Linked DNA regions of Notamacropus eugenii. The main gene of each other region encodes a partner of the protein of the gene in region 2 in a complex. Links are inferred from orthologs where the notes say so. Each region holds a gene or a part of one and is shown on either strand. Other genes may lie near its edges.

Evidence for each region. The genes of interacting proteins can lie anywhere in the genome.
Region 1: OS9 (region 2) and FAM8A1 share a complex: the UniProt entries of both Homo sapiens proteins name them as parts of the HRD1 complex. The link is inferred for Notamacropus eugenii from reciprocal best matches to the Homo sapiens genes OS9 and FAM8A1.

The regions. Positions count from the first base shown.
Region 1 is NC_092875.1:190,223,558-190,231,459, reverse strand, and holds the start of FAM8A1 (protein FAM8A1), read right to left. Parts: upstream 3,014-7,902; 5' UTR 2,934-3,013; coding exon 2,204-2,933; intron 1-2,203. UniProt on the Homo sapiens protein: Plays a role in the assembly of the HRD1 complex, a complex involved in the ubiquitin-proteasome-dependent process of ER-associated degradation (ERAD).
Region 2 is NC_092874.1:233,054,116-233,061,549, reverse strand, and holds the start of OS9 (protein OS-9), read right to left. Parts: upstream 3,019-7,434; 5' UTR 2,948-3,018; coding exon 2,786-2,947; intron 2,267-2,785; coding exon 2,090-2,266; intron 1,495-2,089; coding exon 1,431-1,494; intron 1,313-1,430; coding exon 1,236-1,312; intron 1,012-1,235; coding exon 913-1,011; intron 647-912; coding exon 436-646; intron 322-435; coding exon 217-321; intron 23-216; coding exon 1-22. UniProt on the Homo sapiens protein: Lectin component of the HRD1 complex, which functions in endoplasmic reticulum (ER) quality control and ER-associated degradation (ERAD).

The DNA.
Region 1 (7,902 bases), on a different chromosome or scaffold from region 2:
GAGGCAAGATGCTCAGTTCAGAGTGGGGAGGTGTAGTGGTGGGAAGTCTGAGGATGCAAGAAAGAATCATGGAGGCTGAGTACCCCAGGGATCTTTGCTTGGCTATATACTATTTCACATTTTTATAACCAATATAAGAGCACAGATGACATGCTCATCAGATATATAGGTAACACACAGAGTTGAACATGATAGTAAACATGATAAGATGACAGAATTAGAATATCAAAAGATCTTGACAAGACTACAGATGAGTCAAAGATGAAATTCAATCGGGATAAAATATAAAGTCTCTTACTTGGGCACCAAAACAAAAAAAAAAATCATTTCCCCAAGTACAAGAGTCAGTTAGACTCCTGTTTTGAAAAAGATCTGGGGTTTTTAGTGGGCATCAAGCTTGATATGAATCAGTATGATAATGTGGTAGCCAACAAAGCTATTGATATTGAGCTGCACTAAGAACAACATAGCTTTTAGGAATGAGGTGGCAGTCCCACTATATTCTGCCCTTGTTAGACATCATTTGAAGTACTGTGTTCAGCTCTAAGTGTCACAGTTTAAAAAAAGAAGTTAGAAAATGTTTAGAGGAGGGCAACTACAAGGGTGAAGGACCCAGGTCATGTAAGTCTGTGTTGAAGGAACTGGGCATGTTTAGCCTGAAGAAGAGAAAACTCAAGAAACTGTCCTGGTAAGGAAGGTTTATATTTGCTCTGCTTGGCTCCAGAAGACAGAACAAGCAGCAACGTGGGGAAAGAGGGAAGGGATGTCAGGAAGCACATCCCAATGATTACAATTGTTCAAAAGTAGAATAGGCTGCCTCCAGAGATAGGCTCCTCCTCCTTCAAGGTTCTCTTCAAGCACAAGGTGGACAGTTGCTTGTTGGGTATGCTACAGTTAAGATTCCTATAGTGTATGGACTGGTCTAGACTCTAGAGAGTCACTGAGGTTCCTTTCCAAGTCCTAAAATTCTGAGAACTCTGACCAGCAAAATCACTGCTTCTTACAGTGTGATACAACATTCTTAACTGAAGACTTGTACTTCTCTACAGAAAGGAGGGACGGACTTCTTTTTTCTGTCCTCAAGGACCAGGATTGTCACTGCATTAAATATGCCTTCCGCTACCTTTCGGTGTCATTTTTGTGTATATCATTTATTGCAATTATCATGTACGCTATTCTCCTGGTTGTGGGGTTGGGTTTTTTTGCTCTGCTTCATGCCAACCTGTATTTTTCCATGTTTCTGTAAATTCTTCATATTTTTGATTTTTTTATTAGAGAGGCCATGTGTCATATAGACAGTTAGCCTCAGAGCCAGGAAGTTCTGGGTTCAAGTCCTATCTCTGGAGCACTCTGGCTGGACAATTCATTTAGCTTCCCATACTCTAAGAATTCTGAAAGACTTAAGTTGTAGAGAAGGTACCAGCCTGCACTGGTAGTTTTTCTGGGGGCTTACTAATGAAATGGCAGGTCCTACTGTTATTTATATTCTTATTTCTGCAGAGCAGTACCTTGTCATTACATTCATATGCCATTTTAGTTTTTAAATGGTTTATTAATGCCATTCCTTTTCACACTACACTTATTTCCTGACACACCTCCCACGGAAAAGGAATCCTCTCCTCTAAAAACAAAAACAGTTAAATAAGCCTAATAATTACAAGAAACAAGCACATAATCTTTTGGGTCGCAGTATACAGTTAAATCACTCACCAGTTAACAATCTCACAGATATATATGCCCATGGTCACCCTACCACCTTGAGCAATCAGGTATGAACCTCGGTCTTCTGACTCTATCTCCCCAAACTCTTATCTACTTTACCATATTACCTCTGGTCCGGAATATAATACAAAACATTTCCCTCTCAGGAGGGTTTGCAGAAAAGGTCAGGTGGCAAAGGGAGCTTCCCTAATGTGGAGTTTAATGGAGCAAAGGAGAAAGAGAACTGTGGTGCACATGCGTGAAGAAGACCAGAAACCTAGTCGTGCCCTTTGGAAATTGCAGCCTATATGTCCACCTTAAGGAAAAAATCGAGGTCCGAAAGGTGCAAGTGTTTCTGCGCTAAAAAAAGAAAAAAAAAGAATACATAAGCAAATATTTGAATTAAAAAAGGCAGGCACCACTGCTTCCAAGCGAGCCCTACCCCCTAGCCACACAGACCTAGACTCAGACCCAGACAGACACACCCCCCGCCGCCCTTTACCTGCGGGACGCCCGTTCTCGTTCTGCTGCCGGGCCGCGGTGACGCCACCAGCCCTGGTCACCGGAGCCAGTCTGGCCGATCCCTGCCAGCTAGGGGCTCGGGGCCCCGGGGAGGGGGCGGCGGCGGCGGCGGCAGCCGCAGCGGGGGCGGCGGGGGTCGCGGTCGGCGCCGCAGTGGCCGCCGCAGTGGTCGCGGGGTCGGCCGCTGGGGGGGTGGCCAGACAGTAGAAGGGGTTGTAGTAGCCGAGCGGGGCAAGCGGGGGCCCGGCCGCGGGGCCGTTGGGGGGGCTGCCGCTTCCCGGGGCGCAGGACGGCGGAGGCGGGGGCGGCGGCGGCTGCAGCGGGGGGCTGCCGTAGGCGGGGAAAGCCAGGAGGCCGCTCTGCCAGGTCAGGTAGCCGCAGTACGACTGCCACAGCCACTCGTGCACCTGCCGGGAGTACTCGCGCGCCGTCGGCTTCTCCGCGGGCGCCTCGCCGCCGCCGGGGTCCGCTTCGCTGTCGGTAGGCCCGGGCTCGCGCTCCGGGCCCGCCTCGGAGGCGGAGGCTGCGGCGACGTTCTTCGCCTCGGGCCTCGCCGGGGCCCGAGACTGGCCCGGCTGCTCGTCCCGGGGAGGGATGACGGCCGACGAGCTCGAGGTGGAGGCTTCGGAGTCGCGGCCCCCGCCTCGGTTCTCCCGCTTGCCGCGCTGCCGGGGTAGGCGGCCCTGGGCTTTTTCCGGGCCCTCCGCCATGGTCGCCACTGCCCCAGCCGCAGCTGGATCTGTCACTGCCCCAGCCCGGCGCCGCCGCAGTCGCCGTCGTCAACAATCCGTAACCGGAAGCGGAAACCCCGCCTCTCCCAAACGTCACCGCCCCCTCTCCAGCTGCAGGCTTTGCAGAGCTGCGGCGTTGGGGCGTTGCTGCGGTCCTCATCCACGAATCCCCAAGTCGGCCTTTGGGGCCCAGCTTGGCCCCTGCAAGCTCAGGAGCCCCCAGGGCCCGGCTGCCGTTTACGCCCAGCACTGCAGAATGCCCGGGGCCTCTTTCCCCGCCGTTCAGCCCTGTTTTCGTTAGGGATGTCTGGGTGGAAAAAGAACCCCCGGGATTGGGACTTAGAGCGAAAGGAGAGGGCGGCAGGTTTAAAAACCTTGTCTGAAGGAAGTAGGGGGTTGGAAATGTGCCCCCCCCCCCCCCCAGCCACACACCCCCACCCCGCCACCCGCTCACACCCCCTCACACCTCCACCCCCACCCCCACACACAGGAGCAGCCCTCGCTTTCAAGGTGCTGACAGATCTAAGGGGGAAGACTTCAAAAAAGGAAGCTGCAAAGGAGAGAGAAGTGCGAAAGGGCGGTCCTCGGGGGAGGAGGAGGGGGAGTCTCCCTGACGGGTGGGAAATCCGATGGTCAGTCCCGAGGCTTCTCCTTAAATGGAAATTTTGGCATTCCTGGTCTCACCTTGCAGTCGGAGGAGCAGAAGGTAATTACTGAGGAAGAGGTGAGCCAGGACCAAGCCTAATTTGATGTTATAGATGGGTGAGTGGTCCTAATGGTAATGATCCTGGGATATAGTGGATAATTGAGAGAAGACCCAAAGACCCTGGGACCCAGATGCAGCCAGGTACGAAATGAGCCACAGTGAAAGGAATTGGCTTGTTTGCTATTTTGGAACTAGGAGGAATACTGAAGTTGGGGGATGTGGCTCAAAAGGTACAGGTTACAGCATACAAGTCCATCTATTCAAAGAGTCCTTTCTTTGTAAAGAGGGATGAACTTAATCTTCAAGACTGATTCAGCCTGCTTTTAAACTAAAGAAGAACTACTGATCTCTTGGTAATCGTTGTCTTGTGTTTGAACATACTCTTTTCAGAAGTATTGCAAATATTATACTAGTTCAGCTTTCCTTAAGTCTTTCAAGCTCTGCTCTTGACACTCATTTCACTACAATAAGCATTGTTTATTAAGCCCTTATTGGGTTCCTGGTGCTGGGTTAGGTGCTAGTGATACAGCGACAAAAATGGAACAGTGCCTGTCCTCAAGGAGTGGCTTCTTCCATTAGCTGGAGACAACAGATAAGCAGATGCCGATTATATAAGCAGTGATGACCTCATTCACTCCCACAGCTTCCAGAGGTTCCCAAAGTGGGTGATACTGTCCCCTGGGGGTGCTGGAACTATGGGGGGGCAGTAGTAACTTTGGGTACATTTGGGGGGTATTGAGGAAAAATAAAGGGATCATGGAAGCAAAAGGAAAGAAGATTAGATAAGAATTCGAAAAACCCATCATACGTGTCTCATCTGTCATGTAACAGAGTTAAAGTCATAGTAATTACATTATTTTCCAAGTAAATGCACAAAATGCAAATTATAACCAGTGAGTGATCAAGTCCACACTCACAGGTCTTAATATGTAAGTGTTGTTAAGTGAGCTTGTCCCTGCATTGTTGGAAGTCCAGCATGTGTTGGCAGGAATATGTGCATGTAATGACATGTTTACAATACAATACTATGGTATTGGTTTACAATGGTTATATGGTACAGTATTGCCTCATCAAAGTTTCAATACAGGAAAAAACCCCACAAATTTGCAATAAACTATCAAATTTAAGACGTGTCATTTAAAAAAAATTATATTTTTGAAAGGATACAACTTTTTAAAAAACCTGTTAAAGGGTTAAAGAAAGTAGATTTCCAGGGGGTTGTTGAGTATTTCTTTTTTGAAAAGGGGGCAATAGGCCAAATAAGTTTGGGAACATCTGGCTTAAATGATACTTATGTCTGTATTACCAAATTTATATCTGTAGCCTGTTCTGTTTTTTAGAATATTTAATTGATTCTTTTAAAAAGTACTGTCATTTCCAAGTAGCATCCCCAAAGTAGAATCCTCTTTTAACAGTTAAGCAAAACAGTACATTGATCTGATGCATGTGATAGTACATATATCATTCTACATATTTAGTCTACCACCTCTCCACAATAAGGTATGTATCTCATCATCAACATACTTCTATAGATTTTCTTGTTCAGTGTACTGAAAGCAGTTCTGATTTTTTCTTTTTTTTTTACTTTCCTTTACCTACTGTGGTCATTGTGTATCTTGTACTATTCTGCCTTAATTCTGCAGCAGTTCTTATATATCTTCCCTCCTCCTGCCTTCCAGCAATTGGGGCAAGAACTCACATTTGACAAAAACATTTGGGAAAACTGGAAAATGATCTGGCAGAAGCTAGGCATAGACCAACATCTTACACCATATACCAAGATGAGTTTGAAATAGGTATCTGATTTAAATTAGTGGAGCAGAGAAGAATCACCTGTCAGATTTACAGATGGGAAAGAGTTCACTACTGAACAAGAAATAGACAAGTTTACTGGAGATAAAATGGATAATTTTGATTATATAAAATTAAGAAGGTTTTTCACGAACAAAACTAAAGCACCTAAAATTAAAATAAAAGCAGGAAACTGAGGAAAATCTTTGTTGCAAAAAGTCTCATTTCAAAAATATACAAAGAACAGAGTCCAATCTATAAGAAGAAAAGCCCTCCACAAGTTAATGAAAGGTTAAAGGATATGAATAGACAGCAGAAGAAATCAAAGCTATCAAGGGCCATATGAAAATATTCTCAAAATTCTAATAACTAGAAAAATGCAAGTTAATACTCTAAAGAGATCAAAGAAAGAGGAGAAGTACCTATATGTACAAAGATATTTATAGTAATTCTTTTTGTGGAGACAAAGAACTGGAAATTGACGCAATTAATTGGGGAATCAATTGGGTAATGGCTGATCAAAGTATGGTATATGAATGTGACCTAATCCTAATATGTTAAGAAATGATGAACAGGATGAATTCAGAAAAACTCAGGAAGATCTGAATTAACTGATGCAAAGTAAAGTGAACAGAACCAGGATAATGACCAGAACAAGAGACAACAACGGAAATATTGTAAAGATAATCAACTTAAAGACTTAGTAACTCAGATTAATACAATGACTCATCACAATGCGAAAGGATTCATGATGAAACATGCTATTCACTTGTAGATAGAGAACTGATGGATTCAGAGTATAGATTGAAATATCTTGAAAATCTATCATTATTTCCTTTCACAGAGACATTGAGAATACTTTAAAAAACACCAAAAGCTTATATGCATTGCTATAATCATCTAGCCAAACAAATGTCCACATTAGCCGTGTTTGAAAATGTAAGTATCTCTATTTTAAGTTTATCACTTCTCTCTCAGGAGGTAAGCAATGATTTTCATTTCCGTTCTTTTGGACTTGTGTCTTATGTTTTGTTGATCAGCATTATAATGTCTTTGAAAGTTATTTTCTCCATAATGTTGTCACTGTATAAGTTGTTCTATTTCTCCTCACTTTGCTCTGCATCAATTCATAGAGTACTTCCCACTTCCTTCTGAAATTCTGTTTCATTATTTCTGATGCCACAATAATATGCCATTACATTCATGTACCACAATTTGTTCAGCCATTCTCCAATAAGAGGATATTTTCTAGGTTTCCAACTTTTGGCTAATACAAAAATAGAGATTACAAATGTTTTTGTACATATAGATCCTTTTCCTCTGTTTGATTTATTTGAGAGTATAAGACTAGTAGCAATATCACTGGGTCAACGTATGAACAATTTGGTAGCTTTCTGATCGTATCTTCAAATTTATTTCCAGATTGGCTAGGCCAATTCACAGTTCCACCAATAGGACACTAATGAATTTGTTTTTCCTTAATCTCTCCAGCATTTGTAATTTTCCTCTTTTGTCATCTTTGTCAATCTAATAGTTGTAAGGTGAAATCTCAAAGCTTGCATTTTTCTGATTATTAATGATTCAGAGTATTTTTTCACATGATTGTTGATAGCTCAGATGTCATCCTTTGAAAACTGCTTTTTCATATCCTTTTACCAGTTGTCGATAGGGTAATAGCTCTTAGATATGTGACCTTTAATTAATTAATTAGTTGCAAAGAATTTTCCCCCCAGTGAACTATTTCTAATTTTCATTACATTGTTGGTGAAAAATAATTTTAAGTTTATACAATCAAAATTGCCTATTTGTTTCTTGTGTGATCCTTTGTCGCTTGTTTAATTACAAACTCCTTCCTTATCTACATATGTAAAAGGTAATTTCTTTGTTGCTCCTTTAATATGTTTATGAGATGGATGATCTTTTATATCTAGGTCATGTATCTCTTTCAAACTTATCCTGGTACAGTCTGAGGTATTGATCTATACCTAATCTCTGTCAGGTTGCTGTCCAGGTTTTCCAGAAGTTTTTGTTAAATAGTGAGTCCTTCCCACAGTAAAAAGGGTTTGTTTTATCAAACACTATGTTACTGTTTGTTTGCTTTTATAGTTTTACATTTAATTGGTTCCACTGATTGACATGTCTCTCTTTTTCCCTTTTAAATGAGTACCAAATCATTGTAATTGTTTCTGTTTATTGTATGGTTTCATATCTAGTACTGAGAGACCTGACCTTCCTTCCCACCTTTTTTTTTTTTTTTTTTTTTTTTTTTTTACTATTACTCTTGAGATTCTTGACCTTTTGTTCCTTGTTATGAGGAACATATTATTTTTCTAGCCCTGTAAAATATTCATTTGAGAGTTTGCTGTAGCACTGAAGAAATAAATTAGTTTATGTAATGTTATAATTTATATTATATTGGCTCATCCTACCCATAAACAGTTAATGTTTTTC
Region 2 (7,434 bases):
TCACCCTTGGGTGGGGTCATACCTGGGAGTAGGAATGGGACAAAGCAAGGTCTGAAGAGAAAAAGGAAATGCGGAACTACACCTGCACCTCCTCTGTATGGATCTCAACAGGTGGAACAAAGCAGTCAAGATAGATGGCACCCCCTTCCCTTCCCAGGAGCTACTAAAACTAGCAGAGAAGAGCCACCTCACAGGATAACTGAGAGGAAATATGACCTGTTCCCTTTGTATCGAGGACCCCAAACTGTGTCTCACTCCACATTTCAAGGTCTGGGTTGTGAAGCTTCTCAGAGATTTCTTCAATTTTCTGCTTTGCATCTACTGGAAAAAAATAAAAAGGGAAATTAATTGGAGAGCATGAGACTAGGTGTTCAAAATATTCCCTCTCTCCCCACTCCTCTCCTTCAAATATATCCCAGTCCCCCTGAGACTCACACACTTGTCCCTGGATATATGCTCCATACTGCTCTGGCTGTAAGGTAGGGTGACATCGGATGGCCTGGGGGGCAGCACTTGGAGGAGGTCGAAGAAGAGGATGGGAGCAGAGTCGAGGGGTTCGAATAGTGAGCACATAAGAACATGACTGAGGTTCATCTACCCGATCAATGTAATCCCCCGAAGCATCTGAACCTTCATCACACAGAAACTGACCGAGAGAGAGCAAGTTAATTCAGGAGGGATTGGAATAATGGCAACTCTATTGTTGCTACTGGGGAGTGGCAGGGGAAGATTTGAAAAGGGAAATAAAAGCCTGCATTATATAGAGAATTAACTAGAGTGACAAGCCAGAGAAAGGAGCATCAGATAGTTAAATCTTTGGGGACTGGCCCCTAGAAGACAATTCTACTCTGTCTCCTCACAGTTCAAGTGCTTTGTTATGAGAAGAGATGGCTTCCATTTCCCTAGACTCACCCGGACTTCAGTCTCTCTGGGCCGACCATTCAGGTCACACTTGGAGCCATTTCCATAGTGCTGACTATGGTAGCGTTTCAGACGGTGTTGCTTGGAGGCCTGATATGTAGAGGTGGGGGGGAGGGGAGGAAATATGATAAAGTAGGAGGGGCAGCCCTGAAAATGCTAAAATATTTGAAAAAGGCCCTAGGAGCTAAGACTGAATGGTCATTCAACCCTGAGAAGCTAGTTTGACTCACCCAGACCCATTCCCTATTCCCCAGAGATCTCAAGACTCCAACCAGGATCCTTACTTTCCCTCCCAACTCTCCAACCACCACTACCTTGGCAGTCTCATCATCCCAGTTGAAGGAAGATTGGTAATATCCAAGATAAAGAACAGAACCTTTGATCTCTGAATCTAGAAGAAACACCAAAGGGTAGAATTGTTACTCTTCTGTAAGGTAAGAGGTCAGAATAAGGTGGGTTACCCTTCATCTAGTATTGCAGTGGGAGAGTGAAGGAATTAGAGGAATCACCTTCCATGTGGTATTGCTGTATGTGGCGTCCATAACAAAATTCATATGTCCACCAGTCCTTGGTCTAACAATGACAAAGTTAACAGTCAGTAGGGATGTGAGGAGGGGGAGGGGGAAGTCTGTCCAGCTCTTAAGATGCTTTCGTCCACTTTTGTACCTTCCTTGGCAGGGAATCCTTTATGTTCTCTATGGAAGAGGATCCCTTACTGCCCCTTGATCTCCCTGTTTCTAGGTATTTCTTCAAAGCTTCCTTGCAGTCTAAACTTCCTCCACCTGCAATTTCTGCCCTCCCCTCTCATTGTGCCTTTCATGAGAAGAGGAAACAATCACATTTCTTTAGAGATCCTCCGCTTTTAATTTTATCCCCACCCCTCAACTTCTCCCTCTGTCGATAAACTCCTCCTCCCAAACACTCTAATCTCATTCTAATACTATTACTCCTTCTATCCCCCAACATTCTATTAGGTTGTGCTTGGGGTCTATCCCGAGTATAGGGTTATTTTTGTCCTCATCACTGCCTTTACTCTTGGGTGGCCTGTTTATACCCACCCTGCCCTAGTCCCTATACCCCTTCTTCCTCAACAGCCCACCCTCCAGGCTTTCCACTCTAATTTAATTTGCTGTCCTGCCCTCCTTTTCCCTCCTCCAGCCCCATTCACTTTCACTAGGCAGGGCGCCTCTCTCATTGGGTTCAGCAGCTCAGGGACTCCAGGCCCTTTATAAGGAGGGGCCTCCTCCTCATGCTCCCGCTGGAAGTGAATGGCTCCAGCTGGTAGACGGCATTCGTATCGCTGTTTGTACTTGGAGGAGACAATCACGACCTCTGAGGACTGGCTCTGGAAGAGGAGAGAACACAATTTGGGGGGTCAGAGGTAGAACAGAGGGACAGAGGCTGACGGAGATCGTTGACAACAATGACAATCCGAGCCAAGCCTGGAAGACGAACGCAGCAGTCAGAGAGGAAAATGGGAACTATGGGAGGGAAGGGCTGGCATGGTCAGCGTGCGCACGGGGAATGCTCCGTGCATTTTGTTTCTTTCTGCGACACCGGGAGGCCCGGCTTGCTCCCCCGCCTCCGACTCACAAGGGGAGCCAGGATCTCATTTTCCCTTTCGGGGACTCAGTTTCCCCATCTGTAAAGCGGAGGCTCTGCGGCTGGACGATGTCCGAGGTCGCCAGCCCTCCTCCGCAGAGGGATGGAGCGACGCCTCTCAGGGTCCTCCTCCATACCTCCCCTCGCCTCGCCCTCGTCTCTCGGGGTCCTCGGTCTCCTGTCGCCCCCTCCCCCGGACGCCCCACCCCAGCCCCTGGCCCCAGCTCCCCCCCTCCCCGCCTCCTGCTCCCCCGGGGCTCACCTGACCCCCGATGACAGGCCGCGGCAGGATCTCGATGCCGTATCGCATCTCATTCAGCTCCTCCAGGTTCAAGCTCCCGACTACGCAGGCCGGCAGCTCTGACAACAGCGGCCCCAGGAGCAGAGGCCATAGCAGCCGAAAGAGCAGCGACGTCGCCGCCATCTTTCGTCCCTCGACCCTAACCCGAAAGCGGCCGCTTCCGCCCTGAACCGGGCAGCCGCCTCGCCCTTCCCCCTTACGCCTGTGGATCTCACTAGTCCTCGCTTATGCCCGTCATGGAGACGCGGGCTCCTATTGGTCTACGTGATGTCGGACAGTATGTATGAGAGCGACGGACTGGCGGACAGACGAGAAGGACTGACGGAAAGATGGACGGAGGGAGGGACAGAAAGACAGAAAGACCGGCTGACGGACGAGAGCAGGGCTGGTGGTGGTGGTGGGAGGGAGTGGGAAGAGGTGGGCTTCGGCTCTGAGATTTCCAAGGCCTCTTACCTGCCGAGAGTGGATTGGCTGGAGTCAGCGCTGAGTCAGCCAATAAGAAGCTAGGTCAGCAGCTCTCCTCTAAAAGGGGCGTGCCTGAACGGAGGACTCAGGGGCCGAGGTATCCCCCTGACCGGGACTTGCTGTCAGATCTAATCCTTCTTCGTTACCTCTGCGGCTGGGCGGGGCAAGGAAGAGGAGCTGGCCAGCCGCTCTGCAGCGGGACCGGCCACCTGCTGGCAGGACAATGGGGCCGGATTCTGCGACCCTGAGTGTCGCATAAAAACGGGAATAAGCATTTTAATAAAGATCAAAATGAACCTCTGGCTGCAGTGCTACTATGATGGAATGATACGCGAAGGGATAACTGGAATGACGTCTAATTGTTACCCTAATGACTACAAAGTGCTGTGCGACCCTGGGAAGGTCGCTCATCCTCAGTTTCCTCATTTGCATAATGGAGATAATTATAGCACCTGCCTCAGAGTTGTGAAAATAACAGATGTAGAGTGCTTTGCAACCTTTGACAGCAATAATGATTAATAATGTCTATTTAATTTGTAACCCTGGGAGCACCTTTCCTCCCAAAGTCTTTAAAATGGACATCCATTGCATCCGGGCCATCACCAGTCATCTTGGTTTTTGTCCTGTCACTGGAATTTGATGGTTTTGGAAGGGAGAGTGAAGTTGACGTCTTTTTCCAACTGTGCCTCACTAAAATCCATTCTTACTAGCAAGTCAAGATATCACCCAAAACATTGTGATTTCATTGCTTCTCTTCAAAAAAAGAAGGATGAACAACAAGGGTGATTTGTTTGTTGGACCAAGGTTTCTATCTTCTGCCAGGCAGATATCACTTACATACCCCTACCTAGTTGCCATGGTATTCTGATGACCTTGAACCAGGTGTTTTGTGAAGCTCAAATAAGATAATGGATATAAAACATTCTGCAAATTATTATTATAGTAATATGTTATATTTATATTATATTACATTGTTATACAATATATTAATTTAATTAATAATTATTATCATTATTATTTATAGTCTCCAGTCTTCTAGTCTGGTAATGACTTCATTCTCTGAGTCTTTTACTGCATTCCTGCTTAGTTCAAACAACATTTATAAAACGATACAGGAGTGTGCCATTAAATGTTACATAACTGGGCTCTCCCAGGGGTAAAAAAAATGTGTGCACAAACACTCTTAAGGTTAGTCTACATTATTAAAACTTTTTGAAGTTCAGAAATCAACAAAAATAAACAAATCAAGGCCTGATTTGTAGCAATTGACAATTTCTGAGGTATCAGTACTCAAACTGAAAATTTAATAATCAACTCCTTTAATAATCAAGTTGCTTTCAAGAAGCAAGGGTGGAACAGATACATATTGCCCAAGAACAAGCCATTATAACTGTGCTAGAGGAGCTGCCTTGAGGCTCTGACTAAGGATCAAGGCCTTAACTGCCTTTAGGCCTTGCAGCTGGTTTTGAGCTGATGTGGTATTGGTTGTTGGTGGTGGTTGTTGTCTGTCTTCAAAGAGGACCAAAATGACATCACTGGGATAAAGTGAAATTTCAATATGTCTGACTGTGGGTGATCAGACCAATATGAGCTCAGAATGCTTTACCACAGGTTGGGCACAGATAATCCATGTGAATATTTGGGGTGGATATCCCAAATTTGCGCATCTTATGTTTACTTTGTGCTGTCTCAATTCTGCTTTGCTCAAAGAGCACAGCACCCTTTCTGATGTGGGCACGCCATGCTGAGCAGTCCTGTGCCAGTAGAGTAGTAAAGATTATGTCATTATCTGAAGACAGTGATTGGCCAGATGCAAGCTAAAGAGACAATTTCTTTTTATTTTTTTTATTATTTTTTTTATTTAACTTTTAACATTCATTTTCACAAAATTTTGGGTTCCAAATTTTCTCCCCATTTGTCCTCTCCCCCCACCCCAAAACACCAAGCATTCTAATTGCCCCTATCACCAATCTGCCCTCTCTTCTATCATCCCTCTCTGTCCTTGTCTCCATCTTCTCTTTTGTCCTGTAGGGCCAAATAACTTTCTATACCCCTTTACCTGTATTTCTTGTTTCCTAGTAGCAAGAACAGTACTCGACAGTTGTTCCTAAAACTTTGAGTTCCAACTTCTCTTCCTCCCTCCCTCCCCACCCCTTCCCTTTGGAAGACAAACAATTCAATATAGGCCATATCTGTGTAGTTTTGCAAATGACTTCCATAATAGTTGTGTTGTATAAGACTAATTTTCTTTCCCTCCATCCTATCCTGTCCCCCATTACTTCTATTCTCTCTTTTGATCCTGTCCCTCCCCATGAGTGTTGACCTCAAATTGCTCCCTCCTCCCCATGCCCTCCCTTCCATCATCCCCCCTACACTGCTTATCCCCTTATCCCCCACTTTCCTGTATTGTAAGATAGGTTTTTGTACCAAAATGAGTGTGCATTTTATTCCTTCCTTTAGTGGAATGTGATGACAGTAAACTTCATGTTTTTCTCTCACCTCCCCTCTTTTTCCCTCCACTAAAAAGTCTTTTGCTTGCCTCTTTTATGAGAGATAATTTGCCCCATTCCATTTCTCCCTTTCTCCTCCCAATATATTTCTCTCTCACTGCTTGATTTCATTTTTTTAAGATATGATCCCATCCTCTTCAATTCACTCTGTGCACTCTGTCTCTATGTGTGTGTGCATGTGCATGTGCATGTGTGTGTGTGTAATCCCAGCCAGTACCCAGATATTGAAAAATTTCAAGAGTTACAAATATTGTCTTTTCATGTAGGAATGTAAACAGTTCAACTTTAGTAAGTCCCTTCTGACTTCTCTTTGCTGTTTACCTTTTCATGCTTCTCTTCATTCTTGTGTTTGAAAGTCAAATTTTCTTTTCAGCTCTGGTCTTTTCATCAAGAATGCTTGAAAGTCCTCAATTTCATTGAAAGACCAATTTTTCCCCTGAAGTATTATACTCAGTTTTGCTGGGTAGGTGATCCTTGGTTTTAGTCCTAGTCCCTTTGACTTCTGGAATATCCTATTCCATGCCCTTCGATCCCTTAATGTAGAAGCTACTAGATCTTGTGTTATCCTGATTGTATTTCCATAATACTTGAATTGTTTCTTTCTAGCTGCTTGCAATATTTTCTCCTTGACCTGGGAACTCTGGAATTTGGCCACAATGTTCCTAGGAGTTTCTCTTTTTGGATCTCTTTCAGGCAGTGATCTGTGGATTCCTTGAATACTTATTTTGCCCTCTGGTTCTAAAATCTCAAGGCAGTTTTCCTTGATAATTTCATGAAAAATGATGTCTAGGCTCTTTTTTAGGTCATGGCTTTCAGGTAGTCCCATAATTTTTAAATTGTCTCTCCTGGATCTATTTTCCAGGTCAGTTGTTTTTCCAATGAGATATTTCACATTATTTTCGATTTTTTCGTTCCTTTGGTTTTGTTTTGTAATTTCTTGGTTTAACATAAAGTCATTAGCTTCCATCTGCTCCATTCTAATTTTTAAAGAGCTATTTTCTTCAGTGAGCTTTTGAATCTCCTTTTCCATTTGGCTAATTCTGCTTTTGAAAGCATTCTTCTCCTCATTGGCTTTTTGAACCTCTTTTGCCAGTCGAGTTAGCCTATTTTTCAAGGTATTATTTTCTTCAGCATTTTTTTGGGTCTCCTTTAGCAAGGTGTTGACCTGCTTCTCATACTTTTCTTTCATCTCTCTCATTTCTCTTCCCAGTTTTTCCTCCACCTCTCTTACTTGATTTTCAAAATCCTTTTTGAGCTCTTCCATGGCCTGAGCCCATGGTATATTTATTTTGGATGTGTGGGATACAGAAGCCTTGACTTCTGTGTCTTTCCGTCATGGTAAGCATTGTTCTTCCTCATCAGAAAGGAAGGGAGAAAATATCTGTTCACCAAGAAAGTAACCTTCTATAGTCTTATTTTTTTTCCCTTTTCTGGTCCTTTTCCCAGACAGTGACTTGCCTTCTGAGTTTTCTTTCCACCCCCACCTCACCTCCAGATCCACCCAGCCAGTGCTTGGGGTCTGAGATTCAAATGCTGCTTCCCAGCCTCAGGGCTTTGGGTGGGGGCAGGGCTGCTATTCAATGTGAGATTAAGTTCAAGTGCTCAGGTGGGGGCAGGACCACCACACGGGACTCA